2 linked regions of the Saccharomyces cerevisiae S288C genome follow. Changing the gene in region 1 together with any one later gene gives a genetic interaction. Each region holds a gene or a part of one and is shown in the gene's direction. Other genes may lie near its edges. The genes, in order: SDS24 and MFG1.

The links.
Region 2: mutations in SDS24 (region 1) and MFG1 together harm fitness more than expected from each alone (negative genetic interaction), as found in Saccharomyces cerevisiae (2 studies listed by BioGRID).

What each region holds. Positions count from the first base shown.
Region 1 is NC_001134.8:649,429-653,498, forward strand, and holds SDS24 (Sds24p), read left to right. Parts: upstream 1-1,986; coding exon 1,987-3,570; downstream 3,571-4,070. Other genes in the region: NGR1 (Ngr1p), read left to right, coding at 1-476; bifunctional precorrin-2 dehydrogenase/sirohydrochlorin ferrochelatase MET8, read left to right, coding at 940-1,764; HPC2 (Hpc2p), read left to right, coding at 3,928-3,940, 4,025-4,070. UniProt on the Saccharomyces cerevisiae protein: Involved in DNA replication and cell separation during budding.
Region 2 is NC_001136.10:34,753-38,844, forward strand, and holds MFG1 (Mfg1p), read left to right. Parts: upstream 1-2,044; coding exon 2,045-3,421; downstream 3,422-4,092. Other genes in the region: GTPase-activating protein GYP7, read right to left, coding at 1-1,725; olichyl-diphosphooligosaccharide--protein glycotransferase OST4, read left to right, coding at 3,735-3,845. UniProt on the Saccharomyces cerevisiae protein: Transcriptional regulator with a general role in all morphogenetically distinct forms of filamentous growth, namely haploid invasive growth, biofilm formation, and diploid pseudohyphal growth.

The sequences.
Region 1 (4,070 bases):
ACGATTATCACAGGAACAAGAATGGCAGCCATAGCGACCTCGTTAATCTGCAGAGATCTAATGTCCCGTATATGCAAGAAGACGGTGCACTGTACCCACACCAATATTCAAGTCCCTCATACTCGCTCCATCCGACGGGCAACCAATTCTCCAATGCTACTAATAACTTACCTCAATTTGGGAACGCGATGTCAATTTCTATGCAACTGCCCAATGGCAACAGCAATAAAACGGCCTCAAGCATGAACACAAACCCTAACACAAACATGATCATGAATTCTAACATGAACATGAACATGAACGTAAATCCAGTACCATACGGAATGGGAAACGGTGCAAATATGTATGACGTGTCCAGGATGATGACTCCTCCCTTAAATATAGCCCCGAATTCCAATAATTCGAAATCGAGCATCATGAACAAGCATCCTAATAGGAACAATGTTCCGCCAATTCATCCTTCTCTTCTACATTGATTACAAAAGACAAAAAAAGAAAATTTTAATCTTGTCCGCAGTTTTATCTGCGTCTCTACGTTCTTACGTTTCTTCTATTAATGCCATTTCAGTTACAACCTAGTCAATTGTCGATCCATAATTCTAATCAAATTTGTTTTTCCTCTATACTACCTATCTATTTTTATCTATCTAAGTACATTTATTTACTCAAACAGTTCCGTTTCAAAGTGTTTTATATTAACTATATATGCGAAAAGCTGGCGTCATAATTTCACGTGTTATAATAGCCATGCTGACGGAAAAAAAATGTGAAAATCGCTACAAAGTCCGATGACTACGGGCAGTAGCATGTAAATGATGGACACACACACACACATATATATATATATACATTTACTTCAATAAAAGGCTGTGCCAGACATTTTTGCCATACATTGTTCATGAAGTGTGCAAAATAAGAGAGTGTATAATAGGATAAAAAATGGTCAAATCGCTACAGCTAGCCCATCAATTAAAAGACAAGAAAATACTACTAATCGGAGGCGGAGAAGTCGGCTTGACAAGGTTATATAAGCTGATACCTACAGGTTGCAAGCTGACTTTAGTATCTCCTGACCTACACAAATCCATTATTCCGAAGTTTGGAAAATTCATCCAGAACGAGGATCAGCCCGACTACAGAGAAGACGCTAAACGCTTTATCAATCCGAACTGGGACCCCACGAAGAATGAAATTTACGAGTACATCCGCAGTGACTTCAAAGACGAATACCTCGACCTAGAAGACGAGAACGACGCGTGGTACATAATAATGACCTGTATACCCGACCACCCTGAAAGCGCAAGAATATATCACCTTTGTAAGGAAAGATTCGGTAAGCAGCAGCTGGTCAATGTGGCGGACAAACCTGATCTCTGTGACTTTTATTTCGGCGCCAACCTGGAGATAGGAGACCGTCTACAGATTCTGATCTCTACCAACGGCCTTTCTCCGCGCTTTGGCGCTCTAGTAAGAGATGAGATCCGTAACTTATTCACACAAATGGGGGATCTGGCGCTGGAGGACGCTGTCGTCAAACTAGGTGAGCTGAGAAGAGGAATTAGGCTGCTGGCACCAGACGACAAGGATGTCAAGTACCGCATGGATTGGGCCAGACGCTGCACAGACCTCTTCGGCATTCAGCACTGCCACAACATCGACGTAAAACGTCTGCTGGATCTTTTCAAGGTCATGTTTCAAGAACAGAACTGTTCCTTGCAGTTCCCTCCCAGAGAACGGTTGCTTAGCGAGTACTGCTCGTCTTGAGCGACAGGGCCTCCTCTTTTAAGGGGCGCGTCCTTTCTATTGTGTAGAGAAAATCTACTGGGATTTTGTATATATTTCGCATATATAGGGGTTGGAGAACGAACAACAATGCCTGTTCAGATCAACTTTTCTTCTATCTTATCAGGCAAGATCAGGCACACAACCCAACTATAATAACTATAAACACTTATAGAACAATTACCGTTTCTTCCTTCACACAACATGGCTTCTACTTCGAACACGTTCCCTCCAAGCCAAAGCAATTCTTCCAACAACCTTCCAACTTCTAGACATGCATCCATTGTGGAGATGCTGTCTACTCCGCCATTGCTGCCCCACGTTCAAGTGAACGATACAGACGACAAGGAACAACCAGAAGAGTCCACGCCGCCAACAGCAACAGCGGCAGCGCCTGGTCCAGGTTGTGCTGCTACACCCGCCCCCTTGCGCGATGAAAAGCCTCAATTCAAACTATCAGCTGTTCCTATGACCCAGACGCCATCGCAGTGTCTGTCATGTGTGCACGCCCAAAAATGGCAACACATACCGTTGTCGCAATTGATCGAACAGAATAAGCTTATTTTTGTTCCAGGTTCCATATCGGTAGAGGAGGCATTCAACACTTTGATCAAGTATCATCTAAACTCTATTCCCGTGGAATCTTTCCCCGGCGACATGAACTGTTTTACTTTCGACTACAATGACCTTAATTCGTACCTTTTGCTGGTTTTGAATAAAATCACCGTCAGCAACAAACAGCTTACTGCAGATTGCCAGAATGGAAAACCCGTACCAGTGGGCGAAATGGTGAAACTAACTCCTAAGAATCCGTTCTATAAGCTGCCGGAGAATGAGAGTTTGTCCACGGTGATGGGGATTCTCGGTTCGGGTGTCCATCGTGTAGCGATAACAAACGAAGAGATGACCAAAGTTAAAGGTATTTTGTCCCAACGTCGTTTGATAAAGTATCTTTGGGACAACGCTAGATCTTTTACAAGCTTAGAACCTCTATTAAACTCCTCATTACAAGATTTGCACATCGGTGTTCTCAATATTCAATCTAAGCCAACTTCAAGACAATCCCGTGTCATCTCTATTCAAGGCGAGGAGCCCTTAATCATGGGCCTTTATAAAATGCATGTGGAAAGAATTTCTTCCATTGCAGTCATCGACAAACAAGGTAATTTGCTAGGTAACATATCGGTAACGGACGTAAAACATGTCACAAGAACCTCCCAATACCCCTTACTACATAAGACATGTCGCCATTTCATTTCTGTCATTTTAAACTCCAGAGGATTAGAAACGGGTAAAGATTCTTTCCCCATTTTTCACGTATACCCCAGTAGTTCACTAGCAAGGACTCTTGCCAAGTTAGTTGCTACAAAGTCTCATAGACTATGGATCGTACAACCGCCGGAGTCGTCAACCTCGGCGTCATCCACAAATTTAACAGCTGCTAATACTGCAGCCAATGCAGTTTCTGCCACCGCTCAATCGTCTGCTAATGGTGCGACTCCAATGTCAAAGTCATCCTCTTCAACATCCCTCAACTCCCACTCTCCGTTGATGACAGCAATGGAAGACCCACCATCCCCACGTTCTTCGGCCATCGCGATCCCACCACCAAGTCCCGCTTCCTCAACAAACACACCAAACCTATTCGAAAAGGAATATAGAACGGGTAAGTTGATCGGTGTGGTCTCATTGACAGACATCATCAACTTATTAGCAAGGAAACAAACAGGGAATAAAGAAGTGGATCCGCAATCCGCAAGAAGACAGAGAGGCAGTATCGCCATGTGAGGCTTGCAGCGTTGTCTTTTCCCGCTGTTTCCCTCTCCCTCAAAAAAAAAAATCTTTTACAATGACTAAAAGAAAATATTGTTCATTTATATGGTTTTAAGTATTTTGTAGACATTTAAGCGTATATACTTGTTCTGAAAACATTTATATATTCTATTTTGTATATTCAACTTATTAAACTCTGACTTTTGCTATTGTCGCGTATATGTATATCTTTTTTTCTTGTCGTGGAAAATTAAAGCAAAATATGTCAGGCGAATGTACACACAATGCAGAAACTGATGCGGTTAATTTTGCATTCTGAAACGATTTAAACGAACAGCATTAACCTCCACGACCATATTCAAACGATTGGAAATGGACCAAAAAGGTATGTTCTGGCTTTATTTTCAATTATCCGCCCTTCGTTAGGGGTGTTTTAGATCATTTTGATTAACAATTCTATTTATGATAGCAATTGTCCTTGATAACTCTAAAAGTGGTAGTAAACAGACAAAATC
Region 2 (4,092 bases), on another chromosome or scaffold:
TTGTTCATGGATGCCACTCTGGTCTCTTAGAAAATTTCTTTCCATAATGTCCATGAAGTGCGTAAAACACCAAAACGTTTTCCATTCTTCCTTCATGATGACATAAATAGGCGATAAAAGATCGGTCATCCCCTGCACGTAGCCTAAGTTTGTGTTGTAGACATTATAAGTGATAAGAATGTTTTGTAAATGTATCAAATGTGGGTTCCTGACTCCATCGTCTGCATCATCGCTCTCGTCATTAGCGGATTCGGGGCTGGTACTGTTATTTTCATTTGCTGGGAGTTGTTGTGGCGGTGGTGGTAATCCATCGATGGTATTGTATTGAAATATCTCCAAGTTTCTATCACAGCGTCTCACATCTTTAGATATTCTGAATAATTGATCGTTCCAATATTCCTCTTCATCTTCATCGTCAAATTGTAAAAAATCTTTTGACCAGGTTAGTTTCAATTGATCGTATTCCGCGGCTAAAGTTTGATCGATTTGTACCCTCTCGTCTTGAGAAGAATCCCACGGATATATTTCTAAGAGAAAACCCCAAACTTTCCCTCGCAAACTGTCATTTTCTAACCCACCATGAAATATGAAATCCTTAACTTCGTTTACCGTGACCCTCAGCCTCCCATCGTTCTCATCCCATAGCGAATTCCATTTCGCTTCCGTTAAAGGAAATTGTCTTTGCAGAGCATTATTTATTTCAGTATCACTTAATTCATCAGTTAGATTCAGGTCGTTGAAAATGTTATTCCTATACGAATCAAAGAGTTTGTTCTGCTTTTGATACCTCTCAGCTTCCTGTTTTACTCCTAATGACCAGTTTGCCAAATACACTCTTGCAGAGTCATAATCCTGTTCAATTTGTTTAACCTTCTCATTGTTCAGAAGCTTTTGCAAGTATTCATTGTCGATTTGTGATTTTTGTATGGGTGAGTTGTTAGTCAGCCAACTATCGATAAAATTGGTAGACTTGGTAGTCACGTCTGCTATCTTGCTCATTACGTTCCATTTCCATTCTTGGAATTTCTCGTTTAGTTTCACACCGGCGGTAGCGAGTTCAGTTGTATCTTTCTTCGAATTGTTATAACTTTCCAATAGATCCTTGGAAACGAAATTTCTCAAATCATTCAAAGAGGGATTTACTAACCAAAACTCTGGCTCTAAGTTTGATTTCTTGAGTTCCATCAGTTCGTTGATTTTGTTTCTCAAATCTACGCCACCCCAATACAATTCGTCCGAGTCATCAAATGGGTTCATGGATTTGCGTAGTCTTTTTAACTTGTCCGTAGTTGATGGGCAGAGTTGGTCATGAAAGAACAAGACAGGAGGTTGAAAGCCCGTAAACTGTTCTGTCAAGGGATATATTACCAGAGATCCGACATACCAACCATTTGGACTAGGAGGCCTAAATTGGATGCAGTATATTTGTGAGAGAGAAATTTCGAAAGCTTGACCTAAAGAAGTATTGACCAGGTTACTAAAGTTTATTGAATTTTCAATAACAAATGGTGTAGAAGTTGGACATGTGCCCACTTTAGCTTCATGTTTTAGTAGTTTTGATATCTCTAATGTGGATAAGCCAGATTCTGGGATATATTGGAGAATTGCTTGGTGGGATAGCTTATTCGCTTCCAATGTGAGTAGCAGGAAACCAGCAATATTATCTCTAGCATCGCTTGTTGGGTGTAAGAACACTTTAGATTTGCAGAATAGTATCTTACTCATCAGGGGATGTATGAATGACTCTTGTAGAACTTTGCCAATTTGTGCAACCTATATCTGAGAAACTGAATAGTATATTTGAGCACGATAAATTGATTTATATCTGACCAATTTATGGAAAGTTCTTAACTATTTCTTGCAAATGCGCCTCTCTTTATATAGAGCAGAACTTTGCCCCATATAGTATTGTTTAAGCCTCTCGGATTTCTTTTCTCATCTTGTGGGGCTTCCCGCCTGAACTAAAAATATTAACTATGGAGCAATAAAGACAACACTTGACACTGTTCATGGGGCAGAAGGAAAAGCAAAGATTATCTGCAATATGTACCAAGGCCCACCGCAACCGCCTCCTCAAGCTGTGCCGATGCCTTACATTGTGAATAATAACACACCACCGTACCCAAATGGTAATATTAACTTTCCTCCCACCGCGCAGCAGAATATACCGCCCACGGTTTATCCACAACAAGTGCCATTTCCAGGTCAACCACAGGGGGGTCAATTTCCACAGCCTTCATCAGAACAGCAGGTGTTTAACCAGCTTCCACAAGTGACTCAAACTTTTCACAACTCTGCGCAGAATACGAATGCAACTGGGGGCCCTGGCAGCGGGTCTATGCCAATGTTTACGCCGGTAGCATCCTTTCCCCATCCCATGGCTACAGCAGCAACGGCAGCTGCTCCGTTACCACGGTCTGCATCCCAGGCATCTTTATCTATGTTACGGGTGCCGTATCATGTAAGAAAATACTTATCTAATTTGGCGATGTTGAAATTGTACGAAATAATAAATGAGGTGAATACGGCAATGGGTAAGATTGGCCTGCTTTCATTCTGGACAGAATTAATATCAGATATTTTTACACCTGATGCAGTTATAAGGTATAGTAAAAAGTCTATGACAGATTATAGAGAATTCGAATTTATCATCCCAGTGTTCCCAGTTATTTGCTCTACATTAGGCAGATTTGGCATCGTTAGAATGGAAGTTAAGGTTTTACAATTGAAAACACAAGTTCTAAGTAATTCTACGATTTTTTTCAACTGTCCTCGTGTCACATTTGTCTATTATTATCCTGATGGTTCATATATTACACATTTTTCCCAAATGAAAGGTGCTTTCGATTTGGACTTGAAAATTAATTGGCTGGACGTATCTATGCATAGTTTTGTCCCTGATATTGAATGGAATGCAGTGGAACGGCTTTTGAGTGATGACACAAAGTCTACAGAAATTGAACAAATATTCCGTAAATTGAAACAAGAAGATGTCAAAGAGCAAGGGAATTCTTTTGCAGAAAATAATGCTACGAATGTTCCTCCGAATTTTGAGGCCATCACTCAGCTGAGATCATATTTTGACGTATTCAGAAACGTCTCTGTGTTTGGCACTCAAGAAGGGTTGATGAGAGTCATGCAAATAAGTACCGTTATGTCTACTTTGAAAAACCTTCGAAAGTTTCAAATTGAAAAGAACATTGATAGTCCCGTGACCGCCCTAAGTGCGTACATTGACGCCGACAAGAAGGACAGTGGAAGCGAGCCCTTGCACGCAAAGAGGCGACGCAACAGCGGTATCTCTCCTCGCACCACGACGTTGGGGCCAAACGGCAACTCCAATACAAGCAATGAAGAGCTTCCAACAAGTGATGTGAATGATATTAACAAAGACATGACAAAAAAGAAGATGAAGTTTTAAAGAAGGTAATTACCTAACGTCACCCACTGAAATATTAAGAGAATTGCATGAATCTAGCAGAATGGGAATGTGACATGGTAGCAGCAACCGCAAGGTGTGGCATAGATTATAGTAGTGACAAAACTGTACAATTACTATATAGTGAGATATAATACAATGGTTTATTCAAGATATATTAACCCCCGGGTAATGGACCAAATTTGGAAAAGTCTCGGATTCTCATAAAAGCTTAATAAATAAAGAGTATTTCGAAACAAACACGACAATTACACTTGCAAGTCAGTAGAGAAACCCAGTACAGAGCAAGCAAAAGATGATCTCTGATGAACAGCTGAACTCCTTGGCCATCACCTTCGGTATTGTGATGATGACTTTAATTGTCATTTACCATGCTGTTGACTCCACCATGTCTCCTAAGAACTAAAGTGGTTACATTTGGATAGCGAACTTCAGTTTTTATTATACGTCGCTTTGTGTTTCTGCAAAACAAAACAAAACTACAACTACAAAGTACTGCGTTGGATTTCAATCAGTGCTACATTAATTTTTCTCCCTTTTTACTTCGTTTTACGCACAAAAATATACAGATAAATACACTCGAGATAAACAAGACATCTCCTTCCGCTATTTTTTGTATAATTTAATATCATTATTAATAAAAAGAATTCCTA